Linked DNA regions of Pelodiscus sinensis. The protein of the gene in region 2 purifies or fractionates together with the protein of the main gene of each other region. This does not show direct contact. Links are inferred from orthologs where the notes say so. Each region holds a gene or a part of one and is shown on either strand. Other genes may lie near its edges. The genes, in order: SLC27A2 and SAAL1.

Region 1 (12,219 bases), on a different chromosome or scaffold from region 2:
CTTTCACTTTGAATTGCTCCCCTGGGGTGAAAAACTGCTATTATTAGAACCAATATTTCTAGCGTGGTTGCCAGTCAATGCTCTTGTGAATGGTGTTTATAATGATACTGTCCCCTCCTTTGGAACAAAAGCTGCCCCCATATCTGGCGGATCTTAGGCCCATCCATGTGGAGACTTAATACCTCTGCCACAAGTGGAGCTCCCAGCAACACCCCTAGTTTTCTGCCAGCAACACTCTATTGCAGCTGAATTGCCAAGGACACGCCCCTAGGCCTCCTCTGGTCCTCAGGCAGGGAAACTAAAAATGTTTACTATGGCTTCAGGCTGTATTCAGTTTTTTGGACATCTTCTGCAGGACTGTAAGGAGAACTATGCACATTCAGGTGGCTTGTCTCTCCTGTTCCTGCCCACCCTCACTCTACTTCAGCCGTGACCAACCCACAGGTTGAGCCTCATGCGGCTCTTGGCCCCCAAAAGTGTGGCTCATGAAGCCGCTCCTGCACCCACAAACGGCCCCACCCATCCCTGGCTTCCCTGTGCTTACTGGGTCAGAGCTGAGGAGTTTTAAAAATGGTGCTCAAGATGGTGGCCATCTTAAAGTGGTAGCCTCCTTTAAAAAAATTAAAAAAAAAAATTTTTGTTTTTGCCCAACTATTCTGTTCTGGGGGGGGGGGGATTTTTTTTTTTTTTTTGGCTTGACAATTCTGGTGCAGCTCTTCACATTTTTTCTGCTGCTGTTTTGGCTCTCTTTGTTAAATGGGTTGGCCACCCCTGCTCTCCCTATTTGTTCTACACAGACCTTGGGCTGCATGGAGAATTGGGTTTGGTGGCAGGAAGGGGAATCTGAACCTCCATTCTCCATGAAAGGTTTAATTTAGAACCTTTCCACATTTAGATCTAATGAGCCATAGTCTGGCACCCAACATATGTAAACACAATACACTCTACTCCTGTTTATAGCTGAATCAATATACTCCTTTGCAGAAATCTGTTCAAAGTATCCTTGCAAATAAATAACAATAGTCACCCTGACCCAGGGTAGCACAAAAATGCAGAGTAAAGGTCAAAATTCAAATCAGGGAAGAAAAAGTAAATGTGTAATAGAGGGGAAATCTGTCTTTTTGTCTTCTCCTTATATTATTTTAACGGCCAGAAGTGTCTACTATAGCTAAGGGTGGAAAAATTATTTCATTAATAACTATTTTCAACCATTCATCTTCAATTTTTTTTTCTCATTTTGGGATGAAATATTCTTTGTTTGGTCTCTCCCCAAAGCTGAATACTTTTTGGAAAAGTATATTTTCTTGTTCTAAACACTAGCTTTTCCTCATGGTGTAAACTTAAAAATTGGTTACTTTTGAAAGTTCAAATACAGTATGGAATTCATTCCCACTAAGGTTTAGTTTGTGTGCTATACTCGGAAAGGTTTGTTTTTAGCTCATAAAATTTAGGAACATTTAAACATCTGCATAGAAAAGGACCTTTCCCTGCAAATATTAGTGCACATATTCTATCTTCATACATGTGAGTAGTCTCATTGATATCATGTTTGCAAAAGTTGGCAGAAATGGGGCTAGACTAAAGAGAGGCAGTGTAACCAAGTGGATAAAGCAGTGGATCTGTGACACATAGTACCTGGCTTCTATTGCTGGCTCAGCTAATGACCTGCTAGGTTACCATGGGAAGCCACCTCATTGTGCTGTGCCTCTGTTTTCCTATTTATAAAAAGGGACTTATGACTGTTACTTCCAAGGTAAAGTGCACTGAGATCTACTGACAAAAAGCTCTCTGTAAGAGTTCAGTATTATTGGTAGTTAACAGGCACTAGTTAGCTAATGCTCCATTATCTAATGACCTTGTTTATCAGTTTTTCCATTTTGTTTTTTTCTTTTTTTAAGTATAAACATGTAACAAAGTCTTTATGGGATCAGGGTCTTATAATGCAGCTAAAAAAATCTCAGACTAGTTTCAGTCCACCTGTAACAAAAGAGCAATGATTTCCCCATTATTTAAACTATCTAGGTATCCTTGACATTAATTTTTTTATTTGAACCTGTAAACTGTTCACTCTATTGCAAATTAATTCATTAATTTGTAGTAATAAAGGTTATTTTATTTCTTGCATTGCACAGATCAAAAAGGAAAGCTTTTTAGATGTTACTGTTTAGTAGAGAAAGCCCTGTTACCTAAGTAAAGTATCTTTTTCTGGTGTGTTCCCCTTATTATACACATTGGATATGAAAATTAGGGCTGTCAATTGATCTGCGTTAACACCTGCGATTAACGCAGTCCAGGATTAACGTGTTAATTGCAGGCGTTAATGCTGCACTGCCCCCTTGAAATGCTGTTTTGGTGTTTTGGACTCCAGCTGATCCTCAGCTCCTAGTGTGCTGCCCCTTTAAAGGTGCTTTGCAACATGGAGCTGGGAATCAGCTGGAGTCCCCAGGTGATGCCAGACTCCTAATGCATTGCCCCTTGGAAATGCCTCTGCAGTGCTTCCAAGGGGCAGCACTGCATGGAGCCCGGGGTCAGCTGGGGACTCCAGCTGATCCCGTGCTCCATGCAGCGCTGCCCTGTTGACTGCGGTGTTTCAAAGGGGAGGTGCATGCGACTAATCATGTTTAAATTTTTTAATGGCTTGACAGCCCTAATGAAAATACATTGTCAATGGCTACGTCTAGACTGGCCATAAATTCCGGAAAAGGGATGCAAATCAGGTAAGTCAGCATAGGGAAATCCTTTGAAGTAGGAATAAGAGATCCTCCGGAAAAGGGCTTTATTCCGGAGGATCGCGCCACTCTAGACGCTTTTTTTCCGGCTTTTCCCCAAGTCGGAAAAAAAGCGGTGGACATGTTTATTTAAATCCCGCGGGGGATATTTAAATCCCCCGCGGATTTCCCTATGCTGACTTACCTGATTTGCATCCCTTTTCCGGAATTTGTGGCCAGTCTAGACGTAGCCAATGAGTTGAGAACATTCATAGATTCTAAGGCTAGAAGGCACCACTGTGAGCATCTACTTTGACCTCTTGTCTCTCACACCAGGGCCATCCCTAGAGAGTTGCGGGGCCCTGGGCAACCACCCACCTCAGTATCCAAGGCATGGAACCAGGGACGACCCCTCCACTGCAGGCTGTGCCCTGCCCAACCTCTGCTCCATCTCCACCCACCTCTTCCTGCCTCTGCTTTGCCCTTTCTTGTACCTCCCCTCCCCCAGCGGTGTGAGCAGTGGGATTACCTGAGAGGCCTGGCATGGGGCTGATGGACCATCCAGCCTGCTCCACTCTGCTCTCCCACCCATCTCCCGCCCTGCTGCCCTCCTTGCCACAAACCCCCAGCCCTGGCCCCAGCCTGCTGCAGGGCTCGGAGAAGCAGACTGGGGCTGGGGCGCTCTGTTTCCTGCCAATGCAGAGAAGTGGAGCACAGCAGGCTGAGAGATGGGTGGAGCGGAGTGGAACAGGCTGCCAGGTTGCTCCAGTTCCTGCTGCCATGGTGAGTGCAGGGGGTGTGTGATCCCTGCTACTGCCCCCTGCTGGTCTCTCCCCCAGGCTGCCTTGGGTCACTGGCTAGTATGAGAGACTATCACATCCATATCTCAAAAAGCACATGTATGTTTCAGTGCAACATCCCAGGCTTAGCTATTTGACAAAACCCTTCCGCACTATGGCACAGATCCTGCAATTCTATTTCATCTAGATACTGCCCCACTTTGCCCACTTGGAGCCCCTCTAATGTTCATGGGGCTACGTGCAGGGGGAACACCTAGACAGGGTCAATTTCAGGATTAAAGTTTAAGGCCCTAAATTTGATGTTAATAGGGGTACTCACAGAGAGTAAAGTTAATCATGCACATGGGTAGGACTAGGGCCTCACTGATTGTATCTTGTATGTCAGCACTTGCTACGTATTGGCATAATCCATCCCCACCCCCAGAAAAAAACCCCTTGTGGCCAAGGCATCTCCTTTGCCAGGCCTCCCCAAAGCAGTGGGAGCAGAGTTGAAACAGGGCAGCCAATAACCCTTACAGAAGACTCAGTTTACTAATTCACTGACTTTTGATCCAGTTACCTTTGTCCTGCACCAACCTCCTGTTTCTTCACTGTTTGTTGTTCCAAATTACAGAAGCTGGAGAGACCAACTCTTCACAATGAAGTTGTAGCAGAAAGCACTGTAAATGTTAAAGGAACAACCCTCCTCCTCCAGCCACTCACCACCCCTTGGGACTGTCCCCCTTTCTGGGGTACCTCCCACCTCCTGGGGACCAGTGTGTCCATCCATGTTTTCCATCCATGTGCAGAATAAATGTTTTGTGTGCATCAAGCATGTGCACCACCAACAGAAACAAAAAAGCCAGCTGTGGGTGCCCTGCTAACCAGCTAGGTGGCATGTGAATCTTTCCTGAGCAACTTCACAAGCACCCAGCTTACAGGCAACACTGCTGGGGATTGTCCCATATCCTGGGCTACCCTCATCTCCACTTCTGGGTTAAGGCTGTCCCTGGGGGACTGTCCCCTACTCAGGGCCGGACCAAGCTATTCCGGAACCCTGGGCAGACAGTTTAATTGCGCCCCAGGTTGGGGGAGGGTGCATGTGCGGCCCCACCCCCACCCGGCATGTGGGGGAGGGCACATGGAGCTGGCGGTGGCAGGACGCATGTGCCCAGCCCAGCCCAGCCCAGCAGCCCAGCCCAGCCGCTGCAGGATGGCCGCTGGGAGCTGCTGCAGCCCGCGATCTGGGAGCCGGGCACACAGCGCCTGATGGCAGCTATAAGGGGCATTGTGCGTCCCTTACAGCTGCCATCAGGTGCCCCCCCATAGGTTGGAGCCCCGGGCAGCTGCACGGCTAGCCCATGCCTTAATCCGGCCTTGCCCCTACTCCCCACTCAGAAAGCTGCAGGGCAGGTGAGCTCCCTGCCTGAGCAGATATGGATGAGCAGAATGTGTGGCCCTATGGGTGGGCGGCTGGGGCCAGCCACGCCCCTTATCGCCCCACCGCGGGCAGCTGCGGGCTGAGCCACCTGTCAGCCTAGGCGCTGGAGGGTCTCACCTGGGGCTGCCAGCAGCACCTTGGCCCCGCTGCAGCGGAAGCAGTGCAGCAAGGACTGGGCCCTGATGTTGCTGTTGAGGCAGGCCATGGCGCAGCCCAGCTTGGCCAAGCCCAGCCAGATCCAGAGGTAGGCAGGCTCGTTGCCCATGAAGAGGGCGAGGCAGTCCCCTGGCTGTAGCCCGGCCTGTTCGCGCAGCGCCCGGGCTACCTGGCTGCTCCGCTTGTCCACCTGCTCGTACGTGTGCGTCTCCTCTTCGAACAGCACAAAGGGCTTGCGCGGCGCCTGGCGCGCCCGCTGCAAAAACACCTCCAGGATGCTGTGCACCGGGTCCCGCGCCGCGTAGCTGCGCGTCCGTCGCGACACCCGGGCCAACTTGAGGAAGAAGCAGAGGTCGCGGAAGAAGTAGGGGCAGGAGAGGTTCATGAGCAGCGGCAGGAGCAGCAGCGGCAGGAGCGCGGAGTAGAGCCAGGAGAACATGGTCCGGGCCGGCTAGTGCCTAGCTCAGGGGACGCGGGGCGCACGGAGCGCGCTAGGCTGGCGGAACGCGGCGCGGCGCCCGCTGCTCGGCTCCCGGCTGGCCAGGGGCGGGCTCAGTCGCTCCTCCCCAGCGGTGCCCCAGCGGGGGTGGGGTCAGAGGGAGCAGGGGCGGGGGCAGGAGTCGTCTCCGGGAGGAGTCAGGTACCGGCCCCCTGGGGCTGGTGGCAGCGGAGCCAGCGCCTCGGTTTGCCAAAGCGGGGCGTGGGGAGAGCTCGGGAAAGCGCCTTTGCTGGAGCGGGAGAGCCCTTTGCCCCCGCTGGCCAGCGCGCTGTGGGGATACCAACTCCCCCTCCCCTCAACCAGCGTGTTCCCGGGCTCCGGCTCGCCTACCGAGCGGCACCTCGCTCCCCGCAACCGCAGTGGCAGGCCAGGGGCCTGGGGAGTGAGGGGGTCTCAGAGAAAGCAGGAGGGGCAGTAGCAGCCCCGAGTTCCTCTCCGATTTCCCTGGGAGAACAGGGCCCCACCCGGTTACAGATGCCTTGCGGCAGGGACGGGCGGTGGAGTGGGCACCTCTCACACCACTCCCCTGGCACCAGTGCGCACAGGCAGGGGCAGCCCTAGACTAGCTGCCAGCAACTCGTGCCCTAGGCAAACCATGCAATCGGGGCCACCACTTCCAAACCCTCAATGATATTGCACCACTATTTGGCGCCCCATTTAACTTGGTGCCCTAGGTGACCGCCTAGTTCACCTATATGGATAGGCCATCCCTGTGCACAGGACAAGAACGCTTAGTTCCCATGGATGGAAACAGCGGTCTGTCTGATTTCAGTGGTGATAATGGCATTGTGTGGTACAGCGGGCAGCCGCTTCTCTGGCCCACTGAGCCGAGTCCCAAAGTTTGGGGGATTATGGCCGCGGTCAAACTGATTTCTCTTCAGGGCAAATGCTGCTTTCCCTTTTCAAGTATCAAAGGGGTAGCTGTGTTAGTCTGTAACTTTAAAAACAACCAGTACTTCTGTCGCACCTTAAGAGTTCATGATGGGATATAGATATTTGTTTATCTAAGATGCTACAGGACCACTGCTTAGTTTCCTTTTCAAGTGTAGGTATAGCTATCCGGAGTGACACCCCACCCAGCACACAGGTGCACAGTATGGAATGAACCAACTCACAAAGAGACCTGAGCTCCCATCTTGCTTCCACTGATATCTCTAGCAATTTCCCATGACCTAAAGGGAAAGGGGACTGGAGACTTAATATAAATCTCTTCTGAAATTTGTGGAAAAACTCACAAATCAGGTAAAAATATGGGTTCCTCGTATTTCATCATCAAGGGCAAAGCATAAGTACTGACCCTTGAAGAAATGACAGTGAAAATAAGGCCCATGGGAAATTCTAGGCAGACAATGAGGACTTGTCTGTAGGGGGAATTTCTGGGACAGTGAGCAGATGCACGCTATCTAGGCTAAAGGACAGAGATGGCCAGCTCACTAGCACCATGAAATTCTTTAAAGGAAAAATTGTGTCTCCTGCACCTGCGGCTCTTCTCATGGTCCCCTGCGCCGACCTTTTTTTCTTTGTCTGGGCAGAGCATCACTCAGGGCAGCAAGAGCTGATGCTGCAGCCAACGGAAGCCTGCTTGGGCCACATGCTGCTTTTAAAGGGGCAACAGGCTTTTTTTTTTTTTTTTTTTTTGCTCAACAACTTCTTTCCCTTGGCTTTCTGCGCTGTATCCACCACCATTTTGGCTTTGTCTGTAATGGGTTGGCCACCCCACTATAGGACATCAGCTGCAGCAATAGTGTGTGCACAGGATAGCTATGTCCCTGTTTCCATTCACATTATTGTGTAGATGTCACCGGGCTTGGCATACATGGCATTCTGGGTGACTAGCCCAGGGGTCTTTCTTTGGCTGCTGAGCTGGGTGCACTCTGGGATTGCTCTTGCTATGCCTGGGAAGATACATGGTAGAGACCAGTGGAATTTTGAGACTTTAGTTACTGATGTGCAACCCCACTGACTTAATTAGCATCACTCTTGATTTGCTGCAGTGTCATAATCAGGACCAGAGTTGCACCTGTGTTACTCCATTCATTCCAGGCATTGCTGCTGATTTGCATTGGTGTAAGGAGATCAGGTTGGCAGCACTTAGCAGAAAGTTGATAAAAATGTTAGTGAGAGGCTGCAGGGGAAGGCAAAGGGAAGGAACAGAGAAGGGATTTTGTCTTTCAGTACACTTACAGAGTAAAGGGTTCAGGGATGTGAATGTGTATTCTGAATTGCTCCAGTACTGTCATTTGAAAATATGCTTGCTTTTGGAGCTGTCTCTCATGCACATGCCAACTATGGTTGTTGATGATGATGATGACGACAACCCCAAAGGAAAAGTGCTAGGGACTACACATTTGTACAGTCTGTGAACTGCTCTCACAACGTGTCTGGCCACTCCTGAAGCATAGCCAAGTGTTGTAGTTAGCTCTGCCCTAGAGTCAAGGGTGCTAGTGTCAGCACTGTGGTAGGGTTCTGCACAGGTATGTTGGAAGTGCCACCATGCTAGTCACTCCCATGCACAGGCAGCCCGTTAGCTGTGCACTGTACAGAGAATAATCATCAGCTGTCTAGAAAGTTGCCAGTGCCCATCAGCTCATTTATTGGCCAATCCACCAAAAAGCTCCCCACATAACCACAGAAAGTTACAGGAGTGCAGGACCAGACTGCCACAAGCAACAATTTCTGGAGCTGCTTTTGTGTCAAGGAAAATCCAGACCTATTTTCTTAGTCCCCCTTCCTACATTATAGTGTGTTGGGATTATACCAAAAAAAACCCATTGTGTGGGATTTGGGGCGGGGATTTTCCAGACAGTTGCTCAGTGCATACCATTGAAGATATATATCGATTAATTGCCTAGGACAGAACTCTGTGCTGCACCCAGTCAGGGAACAGCAGTCCAGAGAATTAGCACAAGGTTTATGCACCAGTTAAACCTGAGTAAGCTCTCAAAATAAGGCTCACATGGGATTTAAGTGGTGCATAGACATTGTGCTTGTCCTCTGCATAGGGGTGAATTTTACCCACCACTAAGCCTACAAGTTGCTGACTCTACTCAGTCTACATCTGTCGGAGCAAATCTTATCTTAGTTGCTAACAGTGGCTGTCTCTGGAAAAGTAGCTGCAATAAGCCTCAGAATGGGACAGCAGTGGGAACTTCTGTACAACTTTAAAGCAGATGAAAACAAATGGGATGACAGTAAAGGCTTGTCTGTAAGGGGTTGTCCAGAATAGGAAGGCTAAGAATATTCAGTGCTACCACTATTCTGGAATAGCCATCCCTCTCAATTTCCACATGTAGGTAAACTCTTAGGCTATGTCTACACTGCAGGCTCCTTGCACAAGAACTGGCTTGCGCAAGAGTTCTTGCACAAAAGGTCTTGCACAAGAGCATGTCCACACTGACATGCTTTTGCGCAAGAGATGTGCTTTTGTGCAAGAGCATCTATGGCAGTGTGGACACCCTCTTGTGCAAGAAAGCTCTGATGGCCATTTTAGCCATCGTGATTTCTTGCGCAAGAAACCCCTGTTGCCCATCCACGCTGCCTTCTAGCACAAGAAGCCCTCTGTTCTGATGCTGTACTGTAAATTTACTTGTGCAAGAACGCACGTGTAAGCAGGGTCAGGGTAAACTCTATCCTGACATCTAGTGGCGAACTGTGGCAAGTGGTGCAAAGAGACTTCAGGGGCTGAGCCCAATTTGCATAGACACACCAACCCTGTCTAGTATGTGCCACAGCAGCCCAAATCGTCACTTTGGCCACTGTGGGAGCCCCAGTCTCTCTGTTATTGAGGCAGAGGGGATAAAAGTGTTGTTACCCTGATTATGCGAATCAAGGACAATGGAATGGTGGAACTGTTTATGACAGAGGGATTCGCCATAAACTAAGTAGCACTCGCTAGACAAGGGGCATGGGTTCCAAACCCAGTCAAATTGAGAGAGGTTGGGGACAGGTCTTGGTACCTGGTGGTGGGATCCTGTTTGAGGGCCTAAACAACACTGATTGTACTCCCTCCACTGTGAAATATCAGAGTTAATTTAGATTCCATTAGAAGTCTAGTTGTGAACTGTGGAGCTAACTTTGCTGTGGGCCAGTGCTAAGGTTCCTCTGTTATGAGCTGAAATCACTGTGTGCTGTGCTGCGGATGAGAGCTGAAATCACTGTTGCTGAGGGGAGCCTGGCGCTGTGCTGCTAGCAGAGCAGTTTGCAAGGGGCAACCAGCAAGCGCAGGCGGACAGTAGATGCAGCTGGTGGGGCAACCTGAGGGCAGACAGCGAAGCCGCTGACGGGGGTGGCCTGCGGCTGGTAGGAGCGGCAGCCGGCGGAGCAACAGCAGGAGCAACCAGCTGGCAGCCCGGAGCATGGACCGAGACGGTTGGCGGCTTTGCGGAGCCGGACAGTGGAGGCGGCTCACCTGACGACAAGTGGAGTGTGGCGGAGTGACTTGCGTTGACGGCGGCGGCATGGAGAGGCGGAGCCACCGCCGGGCCACGTAAGGTGCATCGATCCCCACCCCTCCAGGTTGGGATGGTGAAACCCTGCCGGGTGGACTTTTGAACCCTGGGACGGCACTGACCCAGGGCTGAGATTTTTGGGGTGTTGGACTTTTGGGACGTTGGGGAGATTTGTGGCTGGGGGGAGTTGGGGAGATTTGTGGCTGGGGGGAGGGCCTTTGCTCATTGTTTGGTGGGTAAATCCGAGTTGTGGTGTTTCCCCAATTTAATGCAGATGTCGGTTACCTCATGTTATTAAAGGTTTGCTACTATACTGAGGCTCTGTGCTTGCGAGAGGGGAAGAAATGCCTCTTTTGAGGCACCCAGAGGTGTATGTAAGATTTCCCAGGTCACTGGGTGGGGGCTCGAGCCGGTGTTGTATTGGGAGGAGACCCCTAGATACTGAACCCGTTGGGAGGAGACCCCTAGATACTGAACCCGGCCCTTGCTGCTGCTATTTACTCGGCCTGGCAGAAGGGTTACACACGTGCAGTGTAGACACTCCACAAGTTTTTGCACAAGAATGGCTGTTCTTGCGCAAAAAGCCTGCAATGTAGATGTAGCCTCAGGGTATGTCTACACTGCACCCATAGCTCAAAATAAGCTACGCGTAGTAAGCTACGAAACATATTGCGTAGTTTATTTCAAGTCTATTTCAAAATAGCTTATTTCGAAATTTGGTGCTGTCTACACAGTACTTATTTCAAAATAAATTGCTATTCCAAAATGTCCCTTACTCCTCGTGGAATGAGGTTTACAGAGGCATCAGAATAGTGAACCCGTTATATTTTGAAATAATGTGCTTGCTGTTTCAGGATGCCTCCGCTGCAGTGTAGACATAGCCTTAGATAAGCTATCTGAGGTAGCTCCCATTCTGGTTACCCTGGACAAAAACCTAAGTCTACAGTCTCGTCTATTTTTGTTGGGAATACTGGTAAATAACAGCTCAGTGCATGAGACATTTTGAGTTTACTGTCTGATTCTCAGGAAATCCCAGAGACTGTAGATAGAGAATCATTGGTGGTTAAAGCATAAGATTGAGCTAATGACATCTTCCATTTTCCCAGCTGCTGCGTGGGAAGCAGTTTGAGGCCCTCTTTATCCTCGTAAAACTCACTTTCTATTGCAAAAACTGGTCGCGGTTGCTAATGGTTTTTCACTCTAAAATGTGAAATGAAGCAGTATCTGGTGTACACGTCATTTTGGAAAAGGCAGCCAGGAGAAGGGTTCCAGGTAATCAGGCACATAGCAAAGCAGAAGCCATGTGGTCTGAGGCCTGCTTGCAAACCAGGGGTCGGAACTGTTTGGCAACTGTGTGCCTGTTAGAAGCAAAAAGCCATCGGAGAGTGAGGGAAGCACTTTTGAGTATGGACCTGAGAGAGTGCAGAGAGGGGGCGACTTCTTGGGGCACAGGCTGCACTGGAGAGGCAGGTATGGAATTGTGTGTTTGATATTGTTTCTTTCTACTATGTTGTACTGTGTCTGGGGAAATTGGACGTTGTGTATATTCTTTGTAAATAAACAGGATCGCACCAAAGAAGTACTTAACTCATATCAGTAGTTTCTTCTCTTGAAGGAAACAGCCTGGCAAGCCCCTGAATATTGGCTTCCTGCTCAGGTCCAGGAACACTATAATACAGAAGAAATATTAACAGGAAGAATGCTAAAATAGAATTATATATAAGGACTCCTGAGTTTAAAGACAGTATATTCTCAAGTTTCAGAGGGGTAGCCGAGTTAGTCTGTAACTGGAAAAACTTAAAAAACAACCCGTAGTCTAGCAGCACCTAACGACTAACAAAACATGTAGCTGGTATCATGAGGAAGTGGGTTGTGCCCACGAAAGCTCACGATACTATCTACATGTTTTGTTAGTCTTTAAGGTGCTGCTGGACTATTCATTGTTATTTAAGTTTTTCCAGTATATTCTCAAGTTCACCCCAAACTCTCTTGCATGTAGAACAATGTAGAATAACTCACATACCTACCTGTTTTACATTTTTTTCCTATGAGGAAGAAAGCGAAAAATGGATTTTTGCCTCGCTCTCCCTCCAAGAACACTTACGTGTCTCAAGCTGGGCAGCTCAGAAATGGGTACTTCCAAAAGAGTGAGCATTTTTGGAAATAGGATCCCTAGCCCATTGGTCTC
Region 2 (11,850 bases):
CTATTAAACAGACAGCACTTTACATTAACCTATACTTACAATAAGTCGAGGACACTTAGATTTGGCAAACACTCCCATAAATATATCAGGGGCATTAAATTCTTGGAGAAATAATGCAACATCCTGTGGAGAAAATGTGTTAATTAGGCATCTATTTCCTTTTTAAAATATAATTTCCACATATAAATCAAATGTTTCTCTTGTGGAATCAGGCTAGGTCAAACATTTGTCAAATTCTCTAGGACATATGAGTTATCTACTAACCCTTGCAGACTTGTCAATTACAATCATTGACAAAAGAAAAAGAGACACACATGATTGTATATACCTTTGAGCTTGACCTTTTCTCTCAACTTCCAGTTGTTATAGCTTTGCCTTCCTCATGCTGATATTCAAAGCAAATTTCCTGATTTCCGAGTTTACCTGACAATGCTATGAAATCAATATCCTCTCCCAGAATTTAATCCTCCCACATGAAATGAGTCATCTTATCTCTCAGTGCTAATCCATATTGCTTCCAGTACCAAGTTGACCAAATCAACTGAAGTACCCATACTTGTCTCATGCCTACGGTTATCCTGAATTTTTCCATCAACTTCTGCTAAATGCTATCAAAAGACTGTTTTAAGTCTCTAAAGTTGTTATAACAAATTTGGTTGTGTTCCGTTTCTCTGATATCTGTCTCATCACAAATAGCTGACTTAATATTCCATTCCTGGTTTAAATCTGGCCTGCTTTATGTACCATTTCATTCTCCTCTCCAAGGCCCTGATAAGTGCTTTTCTGTACACACTCAGTAAACTGATTCCTTTATAGTTTTTACACTCATTCTTCTCTCTGTCAAATAGTTGTACATTGCTTTTAACATCTGTTCCTCATCTACTTTTAACTGCTCTGAAGATGTTTTACCACTTTCCAGCACTTTTTCATTTTTCAGACTTTTTAGTGAAATCTTTGCTTCTCAGAAATCTTGCTTCCATTCTCCTTCATCTGTACAGAAAAACTTTTCAAGGACCATTTTATATACTATAGTCTGAGCTCTGTACTGCTCTTCAAAATAGTCTCTTCCTCCTTTATGCTTTGTTTTCATCCTCAATTGTTTGTTCCGCTTGTCTTTCACTATTGATATCTTCAACTCATATGTCCTGTACAGTTCTCTTATCTTTCAATACTACTTGTTTCTCATTTTTTACTATTGCTCTTTTTTTAAACCCAATGTTCTATGTCATTTCAATGTTTACTACTTTTATTTTTTTTTACGAGAAATGTGACGTTTTTCTGCAGTTTGTGTTTTCTTCAAACATTGCTCCTTAATTTGTCAGAGATTTTAGTTCCTAGCATGTTTTCAGTTCTTAACCCCAATGCCAACACTAATATATGAATTGATCCAATATCTGCCACAAGTGATCTGCATGACAACACAACTGATTCCCACCTGTACTTCACAAGTACAAAGCCTACTGTATTCTTCCTTTGCCCATCAAATGTTAACCAATTCCATTCCTTCATCAGCTTTCTTTGTTGGAAAAGTATGTTAATTCTCACCCAGTTGTTACAGAGGCAGAAATTTAGTAGCCTCTCTCCCTCTTTTGCTTTCTTCACTGAGTTTGAATCTGCCTATTGCTCCAGTCCAGAAATCCAGTTCAATCCCACTTTCACATGAAAGATTCCCAACATTATAACATATCTTGTCTTCAAACTTCTTGCATTGCTTTCTGTACATCATAATAAAATCCATTGGTTTCTTTCTTGCACACACAGGTCAGTGCATATACTTGTACTATTTTGACTGCAGCAAATACTGAATTTTAGCACTCATGCAACTTCAACCCCTTCTCTTCCTGGGACCCATCTGCCTGTGTCCAACTGATGGTCTTCCCTCAGAGTGTTTGCTTTAGAGTGCCTGAAAAAAAGCTTGCTATTCACAGCCTGATACCTGAAAAAGCCTCGTGACAGGTAGATGGGGTTGAAACATCTTTTTTGTCAACTTTTCAGGCACACTCAGTTTAGGGGACCCTCACCAGATAAATGCCAGCTAAAATAAAGGAGCAAAACCGTTCAAGTTGGGAAAATAGCAGAGAATGTTTGTTTCTAGGTCTTCTACTAACTAATGCTATCTATACTCTTCTTTGAGGAAATTAAATTTCCACTGCAGGGAAATTTCTCAGTTTTAAAATTGTATTCTGCACATTGTTAAAGGCTGCTCACCAACATACCTCGTCCATTGACATGTCCCACATTTTACAAACGTCATTCTCCATTTCTTCATCTAGTTCTGTCTTCACTTCTTCACTGTTCAAGTTGGAGTCATTCTTTTCAGGGCTAATGACCTATCAAATGAAGTAAAAGAAATGGTGCAATAATAAGAGACAGTGAAGAAATAATTAATTTTTCAAGACAATCTATTGTTTTAGTTATCCAAAGGTAGATGTCACCTGCAACCTACTCTATTTAGATCTTCCAAAACTGTACTGCTCATTTTTAAGCATTTTCTAAATGAATCTTCTTAGGCAGAAAATACTTTCCTTGAATGATATGCAGGCTGCACCACAATTTCCCCATCTAAAAACCAGGGACAAAAACACTTACTGTACCTATCTGAGAGATTGCCAAGAAGTTTAATTAACATTTGTTAGAGGATGTGAGAGCCTCTCTTGAAAAGTTCCTAGTATTGCTTCCTTTTCAGAGATATTACACAATTGTGTGTACTGACCTAGCCATATTAAAGTTATTTCATCATAGAATGATATTAGACATGTCTGGTGAGCTACAAAGGACTAAAGCTGTAGTGAGAACAAATCAGTCACAGAGTTTCAGGTCAGAAGAGACAGACAGATCATCTAGTCTGACCTCCCATGTCTCATAGTACACCCGCGTCACCCAACACCTGGACAGTAACCCCCAACAACCAAAATGAGACAAAAATTGTACAGTCCACAAGAGACTGGACTATTATGTGAAACGGAGAATAGGAAACACTGAGGTGCATCAGTGCCTGAGATATACACCCCTTTTCCCTGCCTCCCCCTCCTCCCCTACCATGGGAGGGATATAATCCATTATGTGAGATTATGCACTATAATCCAGGCAAGTAACCCACACGCTGCTGAGGAAGGCAAAAATCTCCCAAAGCCATTGCCAATTTAAACCGGGGGGGGGGGGATACTCCTACCTGACCCCACATACAGCAATTGATTAGATCCTGTGTCTATGTTTATACTGCAAGCGTCTTGCAGAAAAGCAAATGTAAATGGAGCACTCATTTGCATTTCCTCTTCCTTTCCCTTTTGCGCAAAAAAAGCGCTGTGGAGATGGCTCCTTTTTGCATAAAAACCCCCTTTTGCGCAAGAGCTGTTCTTCCTCATTTTTTTGAGCACTCCATTTGCATTTGCTCTTACATAAGAGGCTTGCAGTATAGACATAGCCTGAGCGTGTGAGCAGGAACCCGCCAGTCAAGCACCTGAGAGAGAGAATGTTTGGTGCAGTGCTTTTTTGTGATGATACTGCCCAGGATGCAGTACCTGGGCACCTCCAGACACCATATTGGCACCTCCAGTCAGAGCTCAACAACTTTTCCTCTGGAGTACCGGCACTTTTTTTTTTTTTTTTTTGGTAACAAGAAAGCACTGGTTTGATGCCACCTAAGAGTCCTGGCTTCTCCTATATGCACATTTCTATCTCTAGCCCCAGCTATCCCTTCAGAGGAAGGCAATTAAAAAAGAAAATCGCTCCCAGAATACACCCCCCCCCCATCACAATCAACCCTGTCAGACACTGACACCCAGACATTTACCCAGCATTCTCCTAACACTGAGTTGGTGCCCAAACCTCACAACTCCTAGGGAGGCTGTTCCTACCCCTCTGATGACTAGAAACATTCTTCTCCTTTCCAGCCTGCATTTGTTCATGGACTGTTTACACCTGCTTATTCTAGCCCCAACATTGTCCTTTAGTTTAAATGGCTCTTCAGCCTCCCTTATAACAGGGAACAGGTAAAATCCTGGCCACGCACGGAGGTCATTTTCTCTCCATGTTACCACACCCACTGCCCACCCCGCAGGCCCTATGCTTCCCACAGCAGGAGCTCAGTACCTAAGAGAGTCCCCAGGCCGATGGGTGGGACTTATCCCCAGCAGGGACAGTAACTGACAAATTCTTACAGGTACCGTCCTATGGCAACCCGGCTCCCTGCCGGCTCTTCAATCGCTCCCTGCTGCCCTTTGCCGCAGCTCTCGCCGGGCGCAGCCGCTCCCACCCCCCGCGTGTCACGCACCTGGATGAGCTTAGTGAGGACGCTGAACAGCCAGTGCTTGCTGTAGACGGTGCCCCCGATGCAATCCCCCGCGCCCGCCTCCTCCTCCGCGTCGCTGGAAGGGGGCGAAGGATTCCGGTCCATGGCGCAGACACCGCGCTGGGCCGAGGCTGCCCCGCAATCCGGCTTGTGTCCACACCACGATGGGCACGGAGTGAGCCCAGGCAAGCGCTGCCAGCCGCCCCCCGCCCGCCTCGACTCGCCCCCCCCTCCCGGGCACCGGCTCCCCCGCCCAGCCGCCGCCGCTCGGGCAGGGCAGGGACAGGGGCACGGTGCGGAGGGATACAAGGAGCCGGACCCGGCCCGCTCCCGCCGCCCCTCCGGGAACAACGCAGGACCCGCGAACGGCCGCCTCCCGCCCACGGGGTTCACCTAGCACCGGCTCCCCGCCGCCCCGGCAACAACAACCCTGCCCGGCAGCCCGCCAGAGAGAGACCGGCAGCGCGCGCCTCCGCCGCCCCACAGCGCCCCCTACAGCCTCTAGCGTTCCTTGCAGCCCTCCCCTCCCCCCGACACACTGCGCCTCCGCCGCCCCACAGCGCCCCCTACAGCCTCTAGCGTTCCTTGCAGCCCTCCCCTCCCCCCGACACACTGCGCCTCCGCCGCTCCACAGCGCCCCCTAGAGCCTCTAGCGTTCCTTGCAGGCCCCCGACACACTGCGCCTCCGCTGCCCCACAGCGCCCCCTACAGCCTCTAGCGTTCCTTGCAGGCCCCCGACACACTGCGCCTCCGCCGCCCCATAGCGCCCCCTAGAGCCTCTAGCGTTCCTTGCAGCCCTCCCCTCCCCCCGACACACTGCGCCTCCGCCGCCCCACAGCGCCCCCTACAGCCTCTAGCGTTCCTTGCAGGCCCCCGACACACTGCGCCTCCGTCGCCCCACAGCGCCCCCTACAGCCTCTAGCGTTCCTTGCAGCCCTCCCCTCCCCCCGACACACTGCGCCTCCGCCGCTCCACAGCGCCCCCTACAGCCTCTAGCGTTCCTTGCAGGCCCCCGACACACTGCGCCTCCGCCGCCCCACAGCGCCCCCTACAGCCTCTAGCGTTCCTTGCAGGCCCCCGACACACTGCGCCTCCGCCGCCCCACAGCGCCCCCTACAGCCTCTAGCGTTCCTTGCAGGCCCCCGACACACTGCGCCTCCGTCGCCCCACAGCGCCCCGTACAGCCTCTAGCGTTCCTTGCAGGCCCCCGACACACTGCGCCTCCGCCGCCCCACAGCGCCCCGTACAGCCTCTAGCGTTCCTTGCAGGCCCCCGACACACTGCGCCTCCGCCGCCCCACAGCGCCCCCTACAGCCTCTAGCGTTCCTTGCAGGCCCTCGACACACTGCGCCTCCGCCGCCCCACAGCGCCCCCTACAGCCTCTAGCGTTCCTTGCAGGCCCTCGACACATTGCGCCTCCGCCGCCCCACAGCGCCCCCTACAGCCTCTAGCGTTCCTTGCAGGCCCCCGACACACTGCGCCTCCGCCGCCCCACAGCGCCCCCTACAGCCTCTAGCGTTCCTTGCAGGCCCTCGACACACTGCGCCTCCGCCGCCCCACAGCGCCCCCTACAGCCTCTAGCGTTCCTTGCAGGCCCTCGACACACTGCGCCTCCGCCGCCCCACAGCGCCCCGTACAGCCTCTAGCGTTCCTTGCAGGCCCCCAACACACTACGCCTCCGCCGCCCCACAGCGCCCCCTACAGCCTCTAGCGTTCCTTGCAGGCCCTCGACACACTGCGCCTCCGCCGCCCCACAGCGCCCCTACAGCCTCTAGCGTTCCTTGCAGGCCCCCGACACACTGCGCCTCCGCCGCCCCACAGCGCCCCCTACAGCCTCTAGCGTTCCTTGCAGCCCTCCCCTACCCCGACACACTGCGCCTCCGCCGCTCCACAGCGCCCCCTACAGCCTATGGCGTTCCTTGCAGGCCCCCTCCTCCCACACACACACACACACACAGGCACACAGCACCTCTGCTTCCCCACAGCGCTCCTCCACAGACACACAGCACCTCCGGTACCCCACAGCGCTCCCTGCAGCCCCCCCCAGACACACAACGCCTCTGCCGCCCGACAGCGCCCCTTGAGGTCACCTACAGACAACTCCTCAGCCACCCCACAGCACCCCCTCAGCCCGGCCACATCCAGACACCCACTCCAACCCACCTAATTTTTTGAGGTGTAGGAAAGAACAGATCAGTTAAAGTAATTAACCTACTGATGTTATTCCATGCTATTCCAGCATCCCTGTAACCATCCTTCCACAAGGGTTAAGAGATTTTTGGAATAGGGCTTTATTTTGAAATTTTGTGTTGTGTTGCGGAAATACTATGCTGCTCCCGTTCAGGCAAAAGTCTTTTTCCGAAACACTTTTGCGCAAAAGGGCTAGTGTAGACAGCAGAGATTTGTTTTCCGCAAAAAAACCCCGATCGTGAAAATGGCGATCGGGGTTATTTTGCAGAAAAGTTCATCTAGATTGGCAGGACGCTTTTCTGCAAAAATCTAGACGTGATTTTCCAAAAATGCATTTAACGGAAAACTTTTCCGTTAAAAGCATTTCCGGAAAATAATGCCAGTGTAGACGTAGCCAAACAGAAGTGGAAAACAGTTGTGAAACAGAACATTTTAAACTATTACTAAAGGGAAGAATGGGACATGTGCTGGGAGAATCTCTGTGAGTTCAAATTGCAGAGTTCCAAAGGTTTCAAGTGGAGTGGGTTTGATCACCTATGAAGTAGACAGCAAACACAGACCCTCAGCTTCACACAAGTACCAAAAACGACAGAGAAATAAAGCTGGAGGAAATCTAAGCGAATCTGTGTTGAGGCCCATATCTTAGATCAGTGGTCCCCAAACATTTTACTTTATCCCTCCCCTATTACTTCTGTTCATACCCACAAACCGCATATTCATTTTGATATGGTGTTGTTTCTCCTTTCCTTTTCTTTCTTTTTAATTTCAAGTTATGAGCATTGATCCTTTTGAATCCTCCTACGCTTCCAAGTTTTTATTGATGTACATCAACTAGTCCTGTACTTAGTTCTGCCCTGCCTGTCACTAGCTATTTTCACTCACTCTTGCTCTCACACAATGGGAGCTATGCCTATAATCCAGCCTTTCTAGCCTGACCTCTGATGGAACAGAGATTATACCTATCTGACGACAATATGGCTACGTCTACACTGGCCCCTTTTTCGAAAGGGGCATGCTAATTTTCCTTCGAAGTAGGAATAAGAGATCCTCCGGAATAGGGCTTTATTCCGGAGGATCGGGCCAGTCTAGACGCTTTTTTCCGGCTTTTCCCCAAGCCGGAAAAAAGCGGCGGACATCTTTATTTAATTCCCGCGGGGGATATTTAAATCCCCCGCGGATTTCCCTATTCCGAAGTTTAAAATTAGCATGCCCCTTTCGAAAAAGGGGCCAGTGTAGACATAGCCTATATGTTTAAAACACAAACATTATTACTGCTCATTAAAATGAAACCGGGTTCCCAACCCCATGAAAAATACTGGCCAGTACCCACTGCTTCAAAGGAAAAGGCAAGAAATCGAGTTATGGATAAGAATTAAATAATCTGGAATTTTCTTCCACACCTGGTGCAATTAAGGGTTTCCTTTTCCTCTGACTCACCAAGATAATGTCGTATATTGTTTTATTATCTCTTCTCATGTAACCGAGAGCGTCAGAATTTTAAGATTTTATTTATTGTGGGTTCTTTGCACAGTTGGTACAATAGAACTACTGTTAACTATTATGGGCTGCATTAGTATTTCGAGGGAAGGCCCTTTGGTCTGTAGCGGTTTGGGTCTCCTCCATTTCTACCCCAGGCATTTGCCTCCTGGTCTTGACGGGTGTCTTCTGCTCCTCTGCCACTAATGCCACCCTGCCAACCTTCCCTGGCATCACTGGAAAGAGGAAAAAAGATTATCTTAGACAGTTTTTAATTAAATCACAATAACTAAATTATTTACTTTTCTTCCTCACCACCAGTTTAATCCCTACATTTCTATAAAACTGAGGACACACAAAAACACCACCAAAAGATATTAGCTCATATTCCTTCTCACTCACTCTCTCTCATACACACACCTCTACCTTAACCTGTCTCTGAATAGCAGAGGTCATACCAGAAGTGCAGTAGTTCAAAAGCCTTCCCATTACTTGCCTCCATTAAGTTTTACCCACCCGTCATAAGCACCTTTGTATCATCACCATCATGTTCAACAGCAACATTCACAAACAATCCTCATTAAATGACCTTATGATCATTGTGTCCGTGCATGAAATAGCAAGGGCAACAAATACTGGTTCTGAAAGAGAGGTTTTGCAGCTTTTTAAATTTTAAAAGCCCTGTGGTGTAAACATGGGCCTCCCTATACACAGTGAAGTGATCTATATAACAGTTGGTCAGCTCAGAAACTGTCTTCATATTTACCCAATTCAGATGCTAAATAAAAAGGTAGTTGCTTCAAACAGGATAACAACTATTTATGAATTGCAGTGTACTTCATAGGTCTTGGATTACACAGGTCTCTACTGACTTTTAACTCATAATCCAAGTAGAATCAATTACCTTATAACTTTTGCTGCCCATGCACCACCAGGTCCTCTTTGGGCAGCATCATAATTCCCACGAGCATGGAAATATTTGTCTGCATTTTTATAGTTTGCCTCCCGCATGTCATCGTAAGCACGCCACATATCCCCGGCACCTGGACAAGAGAGAGAGGATTACAGGGGACTGTAAGTATAAAATCTGTGAGGTTATTCCATGCACCTGCCTCTGAGGTAGCTAAGCACCATTCTAGTCACTTCATAATGATAACTTCAAGTACAGTGATTCCAGAGAAGCCAGAAAGTCTCCTCTATACCCCTGAGCAAACACTAGAGTTTTTGGTTCAGTGGAAGATCTGAGAAGTCCCCAAAAGATGGTTTAGTTTCAAACCAATGCAGAATTGTTAGGGTTTCCCGCATCAAAATGAAAAACATAAAAAATGTTCAGGTTGACTTGAATAGACATTTCTGCAGCAAAATGTAAGAATTGTTCATTGTGAAAATTATTAGTTGTGACGTGTTTTTTCAACAAAAACGATTTGCCAAATTTCACCTAAATTTATGGGCACTACTAAAACTTTTTGCAAATTATATTTTTTAATGAATTTGGTATCCCCTCCCCAAAAATTTTCCCCAGCTTTCCTTGGCACACACGACTCCTATTACAAATACAGGGATTTGCAGCCATGTATGTTATTTTATTAACTGTAGATTGCAACACATGACATCTTTGGAGGAGGATATGAAAGAGAACTGCATCATCCTGCTGCACATAAGTTTTGAGGACACTTCTGAAGAAGAACATACAGTTAGTAAAAGCATACCTCGATAAGCATCCCTTATGAATGCTCCAGCATTAGTGAACCAGTTCTGGGCACTGACACACAGTACCAGAGACAGTAACAGCATGCAGTTGCAGAACTTCATTCTTCACTTATTTAGGCTGTAATATAGGAAAAGTAGGTGTCAGAAAACCAGGCCATATTTTAAAGACTCCAGCCATAATGCTCATTGCTCTTATAAATACTGTGGAACAGCTACATGTATCAAAAGGATCACACGCAATTCTGAAGCATTACCAAAGTGATCGTTTTTACACAGAAAAAATTAAATCCCCTCTGCAATCACAGCACCAGGCAGGGAGACAACACATAAATCTAGAAGTTTGAATTTCCGCTTAACAGTTTTACACCATAAACAGCTCTTGTTCGAAGACAGAAACAGAATTAAAACAAGGCAAAGTGGTACAAATATGAAATTTCCTCTTACAACCAAACTTACCACTGCTGTACTGCATAGTCCCTGAAATGCAGAGTTCTGATGGATTCTCAAAAGGAAAAATGGTCCAGTATTTATTGGAGGCTTTATCTTAGAGAGCAAACAGGAAATAATTTACATAAACCTGCTAACTTCAAATTGAGCAACTTTTTGCTTGTTGACTGCAAATAGACATTGCTTCTGCTGGGAATTCCTCTAGAGACTTCCTACTTTGATTTGGTCAATGCCTGCCTTGTCCATTCAATTACAGCATTTAACTACTGCCCACTGTGATGAAATATCCATCACTTACTGGAAGTTGCAAGGCAGTCACTTTCTGACTTGCTTAACATGTCTTTAAATTAGTAAAATGAGCAATATTTTGTATCAGATTTTTAGATAGAAGTTTTTAGTAATTATTTTGTATGTACCATACATGCCAAACCAGTTTTACCCTTCCCCAAAAGAGATGCCATAAAGTAGCTGGAAAAGCATTTGCCATCAGCTTGCTAGGGCATGAATTGTCTTTTCATTTTGTTCATACAGTGCCTCATCCATGGGTTCTACTCCATGAATTTGGGTCCAAGAGGCTATGGCAATAGAAACAAATAAAACATAATTACTGACCAGAAATGAGATGCCATCTTTGCAAAAATTTTCTTTATTTCCCTTTTTCATTTTTGAATTTTGAAAAATATCAACTGGCTTTTATTACCACCATTATGAATTTTAAAGGGAGATTATAGTTTGTTTGAATAGCAGTTCACTTACTGAGTAACTTTGTAGTCAATATCTGTGCCATAAGATATATGAAGTTAAATGTAAAGAGTTTAAAAAATCTTTTAATTCAAATACTACCAGTGGATTGGAATTATCAGTTCTATCAGTAATTCAGCTGACTTTGTAAAGTGAGTTTTCATTTCTAATAAATCACAGTCTTATTTCAATTGTTATTCATATGGAGTAGATGCAGTTTACATTTTTGTATCATTGCATGGGAGATCATATGAAATACTCCTATTGATTCTAATTGGAGAGATGAAGGTAAATACCTAATTCAGGTCAGACATTGACCTCGAGTTTGTAAACAAAAAAGCAGCTCTTGTAAATGTTCAGCGTGGTTCTTATGGGAATGGAATCTGAATAAAGTCATTATGATTGGGAAGATATTGTGAAATAGTCCTAACTCAGTCCTGTGCACTAGCCCAAAACAATTCTAGGACTTTTAAGGACAACAGAGTATAACTGTGTTGTCCTTACTTAATCCCATTGAACAATCTGGCTTTGAGGCGTCTCTCAGTAAACTTTCTCTGTAGAATCTCTTCCCTGAAGATATCAAATTTTCTTCCTGCATTTTTAGAGAAATAATTTGATCTTAACACATATTTATGACCAATTTACTTCCCTCCTGGCCATTCTGTAATTTGGGATTCTATGTAAAGCTCACATGTGATTTTTCAGAAATGGAAACTTAATACATCACAGAATTAACACAATAGGACACGTGACGGAAAACAAATTACGTTCATAATCCACCACCTCTTTCGTAACTTCTCACATTGGATGGAAAGTTAACTGAGTCCAGGTCTGCACTAACGGAGGAGGTTTGCTTAAGATATGCAACTCCAGCTACGAGAATGATGTAGCTGGAGTTGACACACTTCAAGACAAATTTCTCCAGCATCCCCACAATGGGAGGTCGATGAGAGAAACTCTCCTGTCGACTTCCTTTACTCCTCGTGAGTGCGAGG

The links.
Region 1: the proteins of SAAL1 (region 2) and SLC27A2 purify together in Homo sapiens (co-immunoprecipitation; 3 studies listed by BioGRID and IntAct, with this or other methods). This does not show direct contact. The link is inferred for Pelodiscus sinensis from reciprocal best matches to the Homo sapiens genes SAAL1 and SLC27A2.

Annotation. Positions count from the first base shown.
Region 1 is NC_134724.1:20,625,200-20,637,418, reverse strand, and holds the start of SLC27A2 (long-chain fatty acid transport protein 2), read right to left. Parts: upstream 5,666-12,219; 5' UTR 5,524-5,665; coding exon 5,046-5,523; intron 1-5,045. UniProt on the Homo sapiens protein: Mediates the import of long-chain fatty acids (LCFA) into the cell by facilitating their transport across cell membranes, playing an important role in hepatic fatty acid uptake.
Region 2 is NC_134714.1:113,252,230-113,264,079, forward strand, and holds the start of SAAL1 (protein SAAL1), read right to left. Parts: upstream 4,757-11,850; 5' UTR 4,397-4,756; coding exon 4,274-4,396; intron 2,331-4,273; coding exon 2,217-2,330; intron 124-2,216; coding exon 40-123; intron 1-39. UniProt on the Homo sapiens protein: Plays a role in promoting the proliferation of synovial fibroblasts in response to pro-inflammatory stimuli.